Linked DNA regions of Arabidopsis thaliana. The protein of the gene in region 1 purifies or fractionates together with the protein of each later gene. This does not show direct contact. Each region holds a gene or a part of one and is shown in the gene's direction. Other genes may lie near its edges.

Evidence for each region.
Region 2: the proteins of SmD3 (region 1) and AT3G62840 fractionate together in Arabidopsis thaliana (co-fractionation; one large-scale study listed by BioGRID). This does not show direct contact.
Region 3: the proteins of SmD3 (region 1) and SNRNP-G fractionate together in Arabidopsis thaliana (co-fractionation; one large-scale study listed by BioGRID). This does not show direct contact.
Region 4: the proteins of SmD3 (region 1) and AT3G11500 fractionate together in Arabidopsis thaliana (co-fractionation; one large-scale study listed by BioGRID). This does not show direct contact.

What each region holds. Positions count from the first base shown.
Region 1 is NC_003070.9:28,624,261-28,628,177, forward strand, and holds SmD3 (snRNP core protein SMD3), read left to right. Parts: upstream 1-1,610; 5' UTR 1,611-1,696; coding exon 1,697-1,855; intron 1,856-2,274; coding exon 2,275-2,327; intron 2,328-2,447; coding exon 2,448-2,508; intron 2,509-2,601; coding exon 2,602-2,658; intron 2,659-2,763; coding exon 2,764-2,820; 3' UTR 2,821-3,148; downstream 3,149-3,917. Other genes in the region: AT1G76290 (AMP-dependent synthetase and ligase family protein), read right to left, coding at 164-880, 951-1,148; CYCB2;4 (CYCLIN B2;4), read right to left, coding at 3,786-3,917. UniProt on the Arabidopsis thaliana protein: Core component of the spliceosomal U1, U2, U4 and U5 small nuclear ribonucleoproteins (snRNPs), the building blocks of the spliceosome. May play a minor role in the splicing of cellular pre-mRNAs.
Region 2 is NC_003074.8:23,234,797-23,238,844, reverse strand, and holds AT3G62840 (Small nuclear ribonucleoprotein family protein), read left to right. Parts: upstream 1-2,028; 5' UTR 2,029-2,107; intron 2,108-2,188; 5' UTR 2,189-2,229; coding exon 2,230-2,234; intron 2,235-2,332; coding exon 2,333-2,357; intron 2,358-2,730; coding exon 2,731-2,913; intron 2,914-3,001; coding exon 3,002-3,118; 3' UTR 3,119-3,355; downstream 3,356-4,048. Other genes in the region: AT3G62850 (zinc finger protein-like protein), read left to right, coding at 30-400, 488-788, 865-1,358; AUD1 (NAD(P)-binding Rossmann-fold superfamily protein), read right to left, coding at 3,492-3,731, 3,824-3,916.
Region 3 is NC_003071.7:10,180,321-10,184,011, forward strand, and holds SNRNP-G (Putative small nuclear ribonucleoprotein G), read left to right. Parts: upstream 1-1,930; 5' UTR 1,931-2,032; coding exon 2,033-2,067; intron 2,068-2,171; coding exon 2,172-2,194; exon of another isoform or gene 2,195-2,440; coding exon 2,441-2,562; intron 2,563-2,643; coding exon 2,644-2,706; 3' UTR 2,707-3,050; downstream 3,051-3,691. UniProt on the Arabidopsis thaliana protein: Probable common Sm protein, is found in U1 and U2 snRNPs and may be part of the spliceosome.
Region 4 is NC_003074.8:3,620,272-3,624,218, reverse strand, and holds AT3G11500 (Small nuclear ribonucleoprotein family protein), read left to right. Parts: upstream 1-1,612; 5' UTR 1,613-1,744; coding exon 1,745-1,779; intron 1,780-1,914; coding exon 1,915-1,937; intron 1,938-2,323; coding exon 2,324-2,445; intron 2,446-2,533; coding exon 2,534-2,593; 3' UTR 2,594-2,614; exon of another isoform or gene 2,615-2,886; intron 2,887-3,094; 3' UTR 3,095-3,257; downstream 3,258-3,947. Other genes in the region: AT3G11510 (Ribosomal protein S11 family protein), read left to right, coding at 2-87, 170-299, 395-462.

The sequences.
Region 1 (3,917 bases):
TAATATCTTTACTATGATTCTATGTTAAATATTAATGTACTGTGACGGAGCTAACGTATAAAGCAAGGGATTGATTATATATAACCTCAAAATATGGAAGTTCAACCAAATAAGCCTGATTGAACAAACATGTAATTCAAAACTCTGTGATAGTTAGTTTTACCTCAGGAGGAGAGGATCCTCCGCTCATAACCTGTACGGTCCATGGAAACGACTTCTTGACCGAGTCTCTTGCATTAGCAATCATGTTGAGAACCGGAGGCGAGCCACCAAAGTTAGTTACCTTGTGCTTCACGATACTATCAAATATAACTTCGTCGTTGACTTCCCTGAGACAGACGATGACTCCTCCAAAAGCCGTAACTGTCCAAATATAGCACCACCCGCTACAATGATACATAGGAACTGTACATAGATAAACCGGCATTGGTTTCATCTCATTCATAACACCAACAGCAGTTGCGTTCAGATAGGCACCGCGATGACTATAGACGACACATTTGGGAGTCGATGTGGTTCCAGATGTGAAGTTGAGGGCGATTGGATCACATTCGTCAACTGGTCGTATTGGTTTGAAATTAGGGTTTCCAGTGGAGAGAAAATCCTCGTATTGTTCATATTTTGATTGCTCTGTTGGATTTTCTGTGATTGTGATGATGAGAGGTTTTTCTTCAATGTTTGAGAGGAGACTGAGAGATTCTTCAGCGACAGAGAGGAACTCAGAGTCAACGAAGAATACTTTTGGCTTCGTTTTCTCCAGCGCCATCGCAAGCATCTGAGAATCGAATGTCGTGTTCAACACGCAAAGTACTGCTCCAGCCATCGGAGCTCCAAAATAAAGCTCGCATAACGCAGGAACATTTGGCGCTAAAGCAGCCACCTGATAAAAGAAATAGTTTAAACAAAAGAAAAAAGTATGACCAATATATAAAAGTCGTTTAACCACTTACAACGTCATGGCGAGAGAGACCAAGGTCAGAGAGAGCAGATGCAAGGCGGACGCAACGGTCACGTGTTTGGTGCCACGTGTACTGAATATCACCATACACGACAGAGGTTCTGGAGCCGAAGACGACAGCAGCTCTCTCGAGAAAGCTGATCGGAGAAAGCGGGACGTAATTCGCTGAGCACCTCATTGTTCCTTCCATTTCTTTTCTATTGTTATTCTCTATTGAGCTACTAAAATCATATAAAAATTGTGGAGTATTTATAGGCAAACTATTTTGTGTAACGCTCCAAACAATTAATATGGAATCTTTGATTAATATGGACTACAAGAAGCCAAATTGGCAATTAAATCAGAATCTGTGAAGAAGATTTGTACATTGCAACATCTGTTTAGAGAATCTGAGTTGTCACAACTTTTTTTTTTGAATCTAATCACCACTCGGCTAGTTGTCACAAGTGTAGAGGAGCTTTAATTTACAAACAGTTCTTATCTTTTTATTTTTTTGGGTCAACTAAACAAATCTTATCTTATCTTATACTAATAAAACTTAAGAGTAAAAACAAAGTAACAAAAAAGGCACACAACATTCAACTAATGGGCCCAATAAACTAATGGGCCGATCCAAAATCTAAATAAGAAGTCCATAAGAGTGTGGAGCTTTAACGAGAGAAGCTAAATTGTTCAAAGCTTTTTGGCTGCTAAAAAGGAAAAGGGAAGGTTCAATTAGGGTTTAGTGAATCGACGAAGATGAGTCGGAGTTTGGGGATTCCGGTGAAGCTTCTTCACGAATCGTCCGGTCATATCGTGAGTGTAGAGATGAAGAGCGGTGAGCTTTACAGAGGAAGCATGATCGAGTGTGAGGATAATTGGAACTGTCAGCTCGAGAACATCACCTATACGGCCAAGGTAATGTCTTACTAAGTTACTAGGGTTTCGTTTCTTGGCCATTGCCTATGTAGGAGCTGTGAACAGTTTAGCTTCTTAGGTTGTCTCTTTCTTGTGATGTTGAGAGTAGTTCAATTTTGGAGGAGAATTGAGAATCCTTGTGAAATTCTTGACCCTTAAATTGTGTTCCTAGTAGTGATTGGGTTTAGTTCCTGTATATGCTAGTAGTAGAGAAGAAATGTTATTACAGGTCTTGCTTATGTTGTTACTATGTAGAATCATGACATGTTTGCGATTAAACAAATTACAAGACTATATAATTGATCTTGAATTGTTACTACAGATATATGCTCTTACACATTTGTAGATTGTGATTAGAAATTTAGTATCTTCTATTCATGATTGTTACTAAACTTTCGTTTGGGCTCTTTATGGAACAGGATGGTAAGGTATCACAGCTTGAGCATGTCTTCATTCGAGGCAGCTTAGTCAGGTGCTGCTAGATATAAACTCCTTTTGACATCTCTGCTTGTTTCCTACTTATTTACTTTTGTTGGAGTATTCTTTTTCAACTTAGCTGACTGTTATGTGACATTTTGTAAAATCTTGACAGGTTTTTAGTCATACCAGACATGTTAAAGAATGCTCCAATGTTCAAGGATGTTAGGGGCAAGGTAAACTTCTTGAACGTGATGGAGAATATCAATCCCATCTATGCTTTATAAACATGGAAGCTAATAAACATCTTGTTTACTTGATCAATACAGGGAAAGAGCGCTTCACTAGGTGTAGGCAGAGGTAGAGGTGCTGCAATGCGAGCCAAAGTAAGTTCACCTTTGCCTAAGTCCTTAATGTTTCTGATTTACATCTCAAGAAGACAATGTTGACAATTCAAAGCAACTAATTGAATTTTGTGATGTCATACTCAGGGTACTGGGCGTGGAACAGGAGGAGGAAGAGGGGCTGTGCCACCTGTGAGGAGATAGTTTAGTTAACCCTCGTAATGTAGCTTCGGCTCGTGAGACATTCTCTGCAGTATCCATGAGAATCCGCCATCTTCAGCTCGTCACTTATGCATTTAAGGTACACAGCAAGTAAAATCTCTAAGACATGGAGGGAAGAGAGAAAGAGGAACTAGTTCTGTGTTTTGGGTTACTAAGATGTTTGAAAAATTGACATGTTTTGTTAATGTGGTCATTGAGAGACTTCCCACATCTTATGTATAATATAGCACGATTCAAATTTCTATAATGAATGATTCGTCTTTTTAATCTTGGTAGAAATCAGAAATCATAAAATGATGGTTTTCTAAAAGCGGTCGTTTTTATCCATTTATTATATTCATTCGTTTATTAATCTGATAAAGATGGTCGGATAAAAACGGAGAAGACACTTGAGTTGTAGTAGGAAATAAAACATTCGACATAGGTAATGGTAAAAAGCGGCAACCGCGATTTCATGGTTTAGTTTCGGCCACCATGACTGGACCGCGGCCCGAGCGGCTTCAGCATAGGTAGTTGTAAAATCGACTGGTTCTTGTTTTTTTCAAGAAATTTAGCGACTTGAACGACCAAGTCAAGAGATCAAAGTGATTATGTCCACAAAACCAGAAGCCTAATTTATTTTCGCGACAAATGTTGTGAACTTGTGATTGTGAGTGATAAGATATGACTTGGACATTTGGAAAGAAGAGCGGAAAAATATGTTGAAATGAAGAACCCTAAAAAGTTAAGAGTTTTAAAAAACGCTTTCTGTTATTCTCTTATCAACGAAAATGAGAAGACTAAACCATCCACAGATATTTCGAAAACAAACAAGTGAACCCACACAGAGATACGTACGTGTTCAGAAACTTCCCCCCCATATGATGCAACTTATGTTGCTCTCTCTTCAGTGATAAAATTAGGTCAAGTCATTATAGATTCCGTGTGACCTAATTTTAACAGTTGAATCACAGCAGAAGAAACCCAGCTGGTTCAATTCTTGCAGCATAACCAAATTTGGATGTGTTGTATTTCCTGTGAACACCTGTTAGCTTCCCTGTCCCTGCCTTGTGATGCAAACCAACCATCTTTCTCGAACA
Region 2 (4,048 bases), on another chromosome or scaffold:
TGAACAACATCTCAAGTCAATTTCAACAGAAAGCAGATGCTCACTCATGTATTCGAGTATGCTGGAGTGGCGAGATCTTAATCCTCCTCCGGCTACAATGATGCTCGTATCCGATCAGTGGCAGCATGTCTTCGCTTGGGATCTGTCCCGTCTACAACAACACACGAAATACAACCTTTTTCTGGCTTATTCAACTGAGCCTTTCGCAGGTTCGGCACTGAGACCTTGTGGAGAGTGGATCTGGAGAAATTTACTTGAGACCAAAAGGGAATTTGTTCAGGACAAGTGCAGCAGCAGTTGTGAGGTATCTCCCATGTTTTATTGCAAATCTTGCTCTTACCAGGGCCAAAGCGTGGAGGGTTTCAGGAGGCATGTCTCGAGTGGAAAGCATGCAGTGAAAGTAAGTAAACATCCTCCTCTAGACCCAGTCAACTATAATGTTGAATAAAAATATAGATTTTGATCTCTAAAATATAAATTCTCGCAGGAGGTTACAAACCGTATACATCCAGAACTTGACTATTTGACGAGGACGTGGGCAAAGAACTACACTGCGAAGCCTGAGTACGCGACAGCTCCAATAGTGGTGTGGTGGGACATGAAGGACTGTCCGATTCCAGAGGGTTATGATGCTCGTCAGGTCCGTCCGAGTTTAGAAGGGGCGTTCAAGAAACTAGGCTACTCTGGTCCTGTCTCCATCACCGGATGTGGCGACCACAACAAAACCCCTGATCACATCCTGCGAGAGCTCTCTTCCACTGGAGTCGATCTTGCACATTCCATCGACGGTTAGTCCATTCGGTTAATTATATCCATCTCTCTGGAATTTCTACTGAAATGCTTTTCTGTTACTGTCTGAAACAGAAGTCATATACAGTCGCATGTTTATAAATATGAAGCAGTGGAAAGCTCGTAATCCTCCTCCGGCTACAATCATGCTCATATCCGATGGTGTGGTGATGATGTTCGAAAATTTAATCGCCGACTTACTACAAGAGACGAAGTACAACCTTTTTCTGGCTTATTCGTACAGGCCTTACAAAATGTCTGTCCTGCTCACTTCTGCAGAGTGGCTTTGGAAAAGCTTACTTGTTGCAGGTGTTTTTTTCTCCTCTCCTTATCATCATCATCCACTAATGACTCTGTTTCTGAGCTATATAATTACGCTCTCTGTTTCAGAGACAAGAAACCACGTTCTTCGCAAGTGCAGTCAAAGTCAAAGGGGTGAACCGTCTACCAAAATGTTTTCTTGCATGTTGTGTCTTTGTGATTGCAAAAGCCTTGAAGATTTGAGGACGCATCTCTCAAGTGAAGACCATGCAGTGTGTGTAAGCATCCTCCTCTGTATCATCATTTGAGCAACAAAACCTGTTTAACTCTTTCCATTTGTTGTCAAGCAGGAGCGTTATTTTCCTGAGAGAATTCGAATGAGAAACCGCTGTAGAAAGCAATATCAGAAGGCAAGTTTTTCTAATGATTGATTAAATATTTTCAAACATGGGATTTCTTCTTATTAACAGTTACATATATATCTTGTAGACCCAAGTACTAGAAGATTTTCGAAAGAGCAAACGTATGAGGAAAGCATACCGGACGGGTTTTGGTCATCTTCATAATCAGTTACGTCTTACTAATCGTTGAGCTCAAACCTGTCCTGGAAGTTGTTACTTCATTTTATAAGTTACAAATTGCTCAAACCCTACTTAAGAAATGTAACGAAAGGGACCTTGTACTTTGAACAACCCATCCAATGAGAAGAGCTGACCAGGCTAAACCACGAATCTGAGCATTTTTATTTCATGTAAAAGGTGAAACCATTTTGAAAAGTCAAAATCTCTGTACTCCTGTGAATATTTGAATGGGCTATGAAAATAATAACTAAACTGAAATTTATTCCAATTAGGCCTTAATTTATAAACAAAAAACATATGAGGATATTTAATGGGCTTTAGTATCTTAAGGCCCAATAATTAGATAGGCCTCAATTCAGCCCTCTTAAACCGCCACTGAGTTTGTTTACACTTGATTTCTCGAGTACACCTCATCATTCTTCTTCGTGTGAGAGAGATCTTTTTGGAAAACGAAAGCGGGATTTAGCGTATAGCAGGTAAAACCCTAATTTCTTCGATCTGCGTTTCTATGAAAATCTCTTGATAGTTTCTAAATTCATCGTTTTCCTCCTTTTCAGCTTCCACCGTTTCGCCGAATTTCATCGAGCTTCAAGTGAACATGAGGTAATTCTAGTTCTAGGTTTTCTCATCTTCGTCTTCTAATTTTTATCATTCTTCTTCTTCTAGATCTTCTCTAACACTTTTTTTTTTCTCGATTTCAGTAAACCAATGGAAGAGGATACCAACGTAAGTAACTCTCCCCGTCTTTCTCGTTACTGATTTCTCGATCTATCAAGCATAAACATAGAACCCTAAATTCGATATCTGTACCATGTCTATGTCTCTAGCTTTTTAGTGCCTGGAATCTTTTGTTGCCTGATCCTTCATTTTATGTAATTTGTTGATGAATATGTACCATTACAAGTCATGTGGTTTCTGTATCTTCAAGTAGTTGTGTTAGTGAATAGAAAACACTGTCCTGAGAATTCATCACAGATGGTCAGCTAGAGTTTTGGCTATATGAATGAATGTTGCTAGTTTTGGATGAGAGTACTTAACAAGGCAATCTTGTATTGGATGCATTGTTGTTTAATACTCTTCCTTGAATGTCATTCTTTAGCAGGGAAAGACTGAGGAGGAGGAGTTCAACACTGGACCACTCTCTGTTTTGATGATGAGTGTTAAGAATAACACTCAGGTGTTGATCAATTGCCGTAACAACAGGAAACTCCTTGGCCGAGTTAGGGCTTTTGACAGGCACTGCAACATGGTTCTTGAAAATGTCAGAGAAATGTGGACTGAGGTTAACATCTTTTGTATCTGTTTTCTGCCTGTGGTTTACTAGTAGACAAGTGCTGTTTCTTACATGGGTTCTCTGTGTTTTTTTTTAGGTTCCGAAAACCGGAAAAGGAAAGAAGAAAGCTCTTCCTGTTAACAGAGATCGATTCATCAGCAAGATGTTCCTGCGTGGAGACTCAGTCATTATCGTCCTCAGGAACCCCAAGTGAAAGAAGCTCTTCTTATGATAATTCTCGCTTCTTCTTGTCAAATCCTAATTGTTGCATCAACAGTGAGAACATGTTTTGATTATGAGCCTTAAATCTACTAGTGTTGCCTTGTATTTTTCACTTGTCTTCTATCTTTGACTTGAAACGCAGCCAGTGAACTTTGTAATATCAAAAGAGAAGTTCTTTTTTCTTTTAAAACTGTAGTGAGGTCCATGAATAGTAGTAAGTAAAGGTACCAAATTCTTACTCTACGTTTACACGATTATCAAAACAGAAATCAAAAGCGAAATAAATTTAAAGAAACGACGCTCTTGCAATTTTGTTATAAACCCACTACCAGCCGCAGTGGCTGCTACTCAGATTCTGCATTTGCTCAAGCTGAAGTTGTCTTGGTGGTGGTTGCAGCTGCGGAGGAGCCTTCCTTCTGGTCACCAAAGACACGTTGACGGAAATCTTTGACCATGAGAGGCAGTCCCTGACGAAGAGAGACCTTTGGTTCCCAACCTAAAAGCTCTTTGGCCTTTGTGATGTCAGGCTTTCTCTTGTGAGGGTCGTCTTCTGTGTTTGGTCTGAACTCTATGTTTGCATTCGGATCAATTGTCTCTTGGACCACCTTCAAACAAAAACCAACCAAATCACAATTATCAGAACCCAGGGTCATATATAAAAATCGAAAGGTATGTATAGAGAGAGAGAGAGAGAGACCTTAGCGAGCTCGAGCATCGTGAATTCACCAGGGTTACCGAGGTTGAATGGGCCGACATGTTCTCCTTCCATCAGTCTCATCAAACCTTCAACCTTTTGCATCACAAAAACACGAAATCAGATTGATCATACAATATTGACAGCTAAAAATAACCAGGACAAAGAGGGCAATAAAGTTGAGAGCCCATTTGGTCCTTTGTCACATGATATTGATTATTGATACTC
Region 3 (3,691 bases), on another chromosome or scaffold:
TTTCTGCAAGCTGTGATGTTAGACATGATAAAATCACACAAACAATTCAGAGACATACAAAATCAGGATTGTGAAGCAGGATTTAAAGTATATAGCTTAGTTTTTTTTGTATTTTTTTTTAACAGCAAAATCAATATTCACGTTTTAGACATCAGAAAATGAAGCAGGATTTGCAAGTTTGAGAGTTAAAAGTCAGTCATTAACAAAATCAAAATCTCAAATGCATCCACGATTTATTAATACAACATAAATAATGCAATACGATCCAAAAGAAACTACAAAAATAAAATTTAAGGTTCGGTCTTCTCAAAAAAGATCAAGGTTTTGTCTTCTTGGTATGTCCATCATGAAGTTTCTTCTATGGGACGTTCTTTAAATTTGCATGATATAGATCAAGATGGGTTGTTGCCATATGCGAGGATGATGTTGAATTGCCTCTGCTGGACCAACGTTTCAAGGACACTAAAATTTTAATGTCTTTGGCAGGACCGGCTATAAAATTTTGGGGTCAAAACTCAAACAAAATAATTTAAGATTATTAAAAAAAAAAGTGGAGCCAATTATCGTAAAATAAAAGTATTATTAACAGTATATTGAAATTTTAAAGTCTTGAACCACACTTTTGATCATATGAGATAATATGTTTTGGTGGTGTTTTAAGAGCAAAACTAAAGGAGATGGGAAACTCGATATTTGGTCGATGTGGGATGAGTGTAGACAACTTCAAGGCTGTGAAGATCCCAACACCGGCTCTTACTCCATTTCTTTTCAAAACTAGTCGATACATTCTCATACACAACTTATTATTAATAGGTTTCAGTGTTTTACATCAACCAATTTTATATTAATCGTTTATTTATATTTATTTTGTTGTCGATGAATCGGTATTAGAAATTGAGAGCTTGTGGCATGGTATATCTGTACATTCAAGTATTACAGTGGAGAAATTTTTATTTTGGACTGATATATTGTTGTTATCCCGAGCTAAATTTGTAAATAGGAAACACAAATTGAAACTTATAAAGTAAATCGCGAGAAAAATCAATTGATTATTAGAGAAATACTAAACAATCTGAAATGCAAATCGTTCGCTCAAAGTAAGCTCACGATTACACAACGATCAACATAGACTGCTATTGCTACATCACCAGAGTATTTCTTTGTCTCTCTCTCAACAATCTAGAAAAGCATAAAGCTTATGAGATGTAAAGGTAGAAAAATTTAGAGAAATATTTATCATTTTTCAATTAAAAATATAATAAGAGAAAAATGATAATGCATTATGTTTAAATAATATATATATATAAAGAAAAAAATTTAACCTTGTGAAATTTATAATTTTGTTAGTCTAAATATAGTATATGTAGATAAAATATAAAATTAGTGAGTATAATAGATGTGTCACCACTTACCACTTATTACCTAAATTAAATTCATTATAATGCATATTGGTGGCAGAAAAATTGTATATGTAATGCTGAAAAACAAAATGGTATATGTAATATCATTCGATAGAAACAATTCGAACAATTGGCCGCATTAGAACTACAATGACATAAAAATGTCTTCGTCATTTTAATTTTTTTCTTATCATTTTTGATGTTGTGGTGAAATTTTAGTGTAACTTTTAAAATTTATCGATTGGTGAAATCAAAAATATTTGATCAATTGGTTAGACGCTAAATATTTGATCAATTGGTTAGACCACAACAAAAATATTTAATTAATTGGTTAGACGATTGTAAGATATTACATCAGATTAATAGCGTCTAGAGAATACACTTCGACGAAAAAGGAAAATCACTTAAAAAAAAAAAAAAAAATACACTTCGACGAAACATGTCAATAGTCATATGAGTTGGGCCTTATAGTTTATTGGGCCTGAGTAGATTATTGGGCTTAAAGGAGTAGTAAAAAACAAGAAGACGCTAACACTAGACTTCCAAAAATCAAAACTTTAGGGTTTCAGAGCAAACTCTGTCTTCTTCAAGCCGAGAGCGAAAACCCTAAGCTCAATTCCGATTTTGCAACTATGAGTCGTTCAGGTCAGCCTCCGGATCTTAAGAAGTAAGCCCTTGTTCTTATTTCTCTCTTTCTGTTTCTATATCTTCGTGTTTCTGATTTAATTTTTGTGCTTAATCTGTTGTTTGTTTTTGTTTCGTTCGATGCAGGTACATGGATAAGAAGCTCCAAAGTAAGTTCAATATCTTCATCTTCTTTTATCGATAGTTAGGGAACTTCAGTTTTGTATAACACATTAGCTGAGATGTGATTGCAACTTTATTCTGTGAATCGAACTGGATTTGGTATTACTGATTTTAGTTATAGTGTCTAGAATCGAACTCAAAGTAGTTTTTTTTTGGTGATTGTGTTTTGATTTTAGCAAAGAGTGGATTTTTTCTTGATGTGTTGAGATTGATGAATTGTATTTGAAATGCAGTCAAGCTTAATGCTAACCGAATGGTTACTGGAACTCTTCGTGGGTTTGATCAGTTCATGAATCTTGTTGTGGATAACACTGTTGAGGTGAACGGTAACGACAAAACCGACATCGGGATGGTGGTAAGTCTCTCGATTCTGTGTCCCTTTGTCGTTAATCTTCTGCTGCTCTTGACTGATGTTTTACTTTGGTTTTGGGAGCAGGTGATTAGAGGAAACAGCATTGTCACTGTTGAAGCTCTTGAACCAGTGGGCAGATCTTCTTAGCTCGTTATATTCATTGGTTATGATCTTTTTGTACTAAGCACTAGCTATGAGAAATCTTGGTGGTAGATTCGCAGTTACGATGAATTGATTCTGTAAGAAGTCTACATGAATACTCTTTTCTTGTACTAAAAAGATTGCAATGAACCCCCACCGATGAATGTGATGGCTTGTACTTTTCACTCTTGATACAATGCTCAAACCTCTATTAGTCATCTTCTTAGCTTGGTTTATGCATCCATAGTCATCTTTGTTTTGGTACTAAGCATTAGTTCTGAGGAAACTTGATGGTAGATTTGCAGTTATTATAAATTGATCAAGAAGTCCACATCAATATTCTTGTGCTTTTACTCTGGATCCACTGCTTTGATCTTATATCTTCATCCCTTCTGTTAATGCTTAGTTGCTCTTTTTCTCTTTTTGTAATGAATGAGACTTTAAAGAAGACAAAAAATGCAGACAATGTAAAATGCAAAGAACATAAACAAGTCTTACATGTTGAGTTCATTGCCGAGAGGCTCCCATTTATCATGAGCGATTAGGACGACATCGATTTCAACCATGTTGACACAAAGTTTACTGAACTTGAAACAGAATGTGTATCAAAACTTGAAAATGTGATTGTGTCACTGTCAAGCACATAACCTAAATTTTACGATCTTTCCCAAAGCGCCAAAAGTAAAGCGGACAAGCGAATTCTACGAAACCAACAAGCCGCCACTGTGAGTGTCTCTCTCTCGCTCCCTCTCCCTCCCTCTCCCTGAAAGATTATCATGCTTCTTGTGGTGAAGCTGATGGCTTTTCCTTGATTTCAGTACATTGCAAGTCTTAGTCAGGCACTGGCCTATTGTCATGGAAAATGTGTGATTCACGGAGACATCAAACTTAATAATTTGTGATCATGAGGTATATATGGTTAAAGTGTTTTTGCATTGAGAATTCGGGATATTCATTATTTGCAGCTTCTTGTTAAGGATCCCTCAAAACA
Region 4 (3,947 bases), on another chromosome or scaffold:
GGTGGCATGAAGGTGAAGGCTGACCGTGATGAGTCCTCTCCTTATGCTGCTATGCTTGCAGCTCAAGATGTTGCTCAAAGATGCAAGGTCTGAAATGATTCGATGTCCATGCCTTTTTTTAATTGACTTTGAGGTTCTGGATGATAATCTATAATGGTTTATGTGACAGGAGCTTGGCATCACTGCCATGCACGTGAAGCTCCGTGCTACTGGAGGAAACAAAACCAAGACTCCAGGTCCTGGTGCTCAGTCTGCTCTTAGAGCCCTTGCTCGTTCTGGCATGAAGATTGGTCGTATTGGTAAACACACAAACTTAGTCTCACTCAAGTTGTTTTGTTTTGTTTTGTTATGATTGCTCATTGGAAGCTGAATCTTTCTTGAATGCATTTTGCAGAGGATGTGACTCCGATTCCCACAGACAGTACACGCCGAAAGGGTGGACGAAGAGGAAGAAGACTCTGATTGCACGATGAGGCTCATCATCGTTGCAATGTGCTCTTGAGACTGTGGGTATTTTCTTGGGTACACTTCGAAGTTAGTTTTGTCTCTCTCCAATTTATCTTTCCAGTTGCTTTGAGAACATTATAAGCTGTGTTTTTTTGTATTTGGAGTTTTTGGTATTGAGAAAAAAAATGTTAAGTTACTGATCGCGTCGTGTTACTGTTAGTTGGCTTATTGATATTTTACATTTTCTCTCTTTTTAACTTTGGCGAATGGATACTTTATCGAGATATTTAATGCTATGGTTGCTCATCAGAATCAGATTAGAAAGTCCGATGCAAGTTTTAGTATGTCGTGCTGGTTCCGAAATCAAACCAAGCCAGATCGTTGTTAACTTGTCATAATCTGTTTTTGAGGCCCAATTATTCAACCAAAAAAGTCAATTTTAAGAATGAAAAGAGTTGATTTGTGGCATGTGGTGAATGCAATTAACAACTATACGAGAGATTGTATGATAAAGACATCAAATATCCCAAGTCCGGCTTTTGGAATTCTTGATTAGAATGTTATCGCTTAGATTGTGTTGAATGGCATCTCTTGCAAGAAAAAGAAAACAGATTAGCAGATTATGATCATATATTTCTTATTAGCCCTGAGCTGTTAGTGCATTATAAGCATCAGACCCCACTTATAGCCTCTTGCAATGACTTAAAACTCATCATATCCTCATTTCTTGATGCTCTTGGTTGTTATCGAAGACATAAACAACATGGATGTTTAAAGAATGCTCTTTTATGTTCTTTAGTCTCTATGAGGAGCCATATCACAGGCAATATTTCCTAGTAAGGAGAAAGGTTTGGTAATTAATTGATGCAGTGGGTATCTTTCTTTTAGTTTTATGGCTTTTGACTACATGTAATTCAGATAATTTTGGATGGGTAATCACAATTCAAGATAAATTGTTATAAATAATTTAGTAATATAAATGACTAAATATCTCTAATTAGTAACACCGGGTGTTTGGTCTAGTGGTATGATTCTCGCTTCGGGTGCGAGAGGTCCCGAGTTCGATTCTCGGAACACCCCTACTTTTATGTTTTGAAACATGTGAAAGGCTTTTTTTGCGGTCAAACCCATTAACAATGGGCTTGAAACGACGGTGCTTCGACCACTCTAGTTTTGCAGACCGACGTCATTTTTTTTCTTTCTCTTTCGCTCTGGAGACTGGAATCAATCGAGTAAAGTGTTCGTAGCTGAGAAAAACCCTAAGCTCTCGTTTTTCGTCTTCTCCGATTCTGCAAGTATGAGTCGATCAGGTCAGCCTCCAGATCTCAAGAAGTAAGTTCTCTTCGCCACTTTTTTCCTTTTGATTTCTAATTTCTCTGTATCCATTTAGTTGAAGTTTTTGGTTTCATAGAGCTCCTACTTCTTCGTGTTTCTGATTTTGTTCTTCGTTTGTTTCATGTAATGCAGGTACATGGACAAGAAACTCCAAAGTAAGCTCGATCTCTTCTTCCACTTTTTCAATTTTAAAGCGTCTTTAAGTCGAACCTAAATCTCTTACTCAGATGAGAATTGCTTGCAACCCGATTTCTCAACTTAAGAGCTATATTAATGCCATTTCAGTTCATGTATTACTTGGGATTGCGTGTTTTTGTGTACTAATTAAACTTGTGTTTACAATTCCAATATATAGATTCAATGCTAATCTTGGTTAAGAATATATCAATGTCACATAAAGTTAAGAGTTGTATGGATTCTTAGGTTTTGTATCTCGTTCATTTAGAATTTTACTAGACTTTGTTTGTTATCATGTTTTTGTAACTTGGTATGGTCAAGTGAAGTTCTTGTCTGCTTTTTTTTGTTGTTACCCCCAATGTAGTTAAGCTTAATGCCAACAGAATGGTTGTTGGAACTCTCCGTGGCTTTGATCAGTTCATGAATCTTGTTGTGGATAACACTGTTGAAGTCAATGGTGATGACAAAACTGACATTGGGATGGTGGTACGTTTCTCTCCATCTCTCTAACTCACCCACAGAATCTTCTTGTCATTTGTTTTGTTTAAACATTCTACTTTTTTCCTGGATGCAGGTGATAAGAGGAAACAGCATTGTTACTGTTGAAGCTCTCGAACCAGTTGGAAGATCTTAGCTTATGACTTTTCACCCCCAAGTAATCATCTTCTGTAATATGAGACTTTGACTTACTTTGCTCTCTGTACCGGCATGAATCAATCTTGATTTTATTTGATGAATTCCTCTTCTTTGGCTCCTCTACTTATGTCATTTTACCCTTGTTCGGTCCTGTTTGTTCCCTATAGATTTTTCTGAACCCTTGATTTGATGGATACAAGGAAATTTGGATACTTACTGTCCTTGTGTTATAATCTCTTATCATATGTGTTAGTCAGGTATAAGTTATATAATCATTTCAAGTTAGAGAAATCAATGTAGTAATGAAAAAGCTAATTTTGAATGGTCCAAACCTTAGAGAAAGCAAAATACTTTTGTTGTGGGGATCTGAATTTTGGGTAAATGAGCTCCAACGGTTGTTTTTCTTTTGCTTTATTAGTATTTTAAACCCTTTTTTAGCCCTCTTTTTATCAAAGTGAGATCATAATCATGCCGTTTGGCTCCTCTGTTACTATTAAAGATGTTGTTATATGAATAAGAAGAAGCTAAAAGAAAGAAAAGGAGAAATAAGAGAAGTGAAAGTGGAAGGAATCAAGGAAGCATGTGCCCCACGAAGTATTGTGTGTGAGGCAAAATGAATGAAATCGGTACAATATCTATCAATCTCCAATGAAACAGCAACAACAACAACATGTAACCACAACGGAATGTTCGGCACGTGGGTCGTCGTCGGCACACACGTGGGGTGGGCTTTGTTCCAACTTACATTCATATCAAGTATTATCAACCACAAAACTATGAGTTGAAATGCCTTTTTTGGTAGAAAAGTAGGTATTTGTGTTTTGTCTATAAATTCTAAATTATTTTCTGTCCAAGTCATTATACAATTTGATGTGTTTTTTAACATTTCGTGGTCGGGGATCTCCAACTAATATAACAAGTAAACGAATTTTAAACACATGGATTTACAACTAATCCAAAAAGAACTTTCACCAACTTCACTTTCTCTTTTATTCTTTTCTCTTTGGTTTTTGGGGAAGAGAATAGAAAGAGTACGAGAGATTGCTTCTTTCTAAATTCTAACGGTAAACAAATATTACATAAAAATGTTAACCATCTTCGTATATTATTCTCATGGACCATTTGCAAGTAACTAAAAGATTCACTTTAGATGCAAGCTGTTCAATGAACTTCACCATCCTTTTTTTTATTTCTTTCAAATTTGATTTTACAATATCAATCTCATTTTTGTTTGTCACAATATCAAAATCTCACATCTTAGCGTGGATTACAATTTGTGTTTAACTATTCCATCATCATTAAATTTAATGACCAAAAGCCATAGAAATTGTGTTATTATGGATCATTGGTTG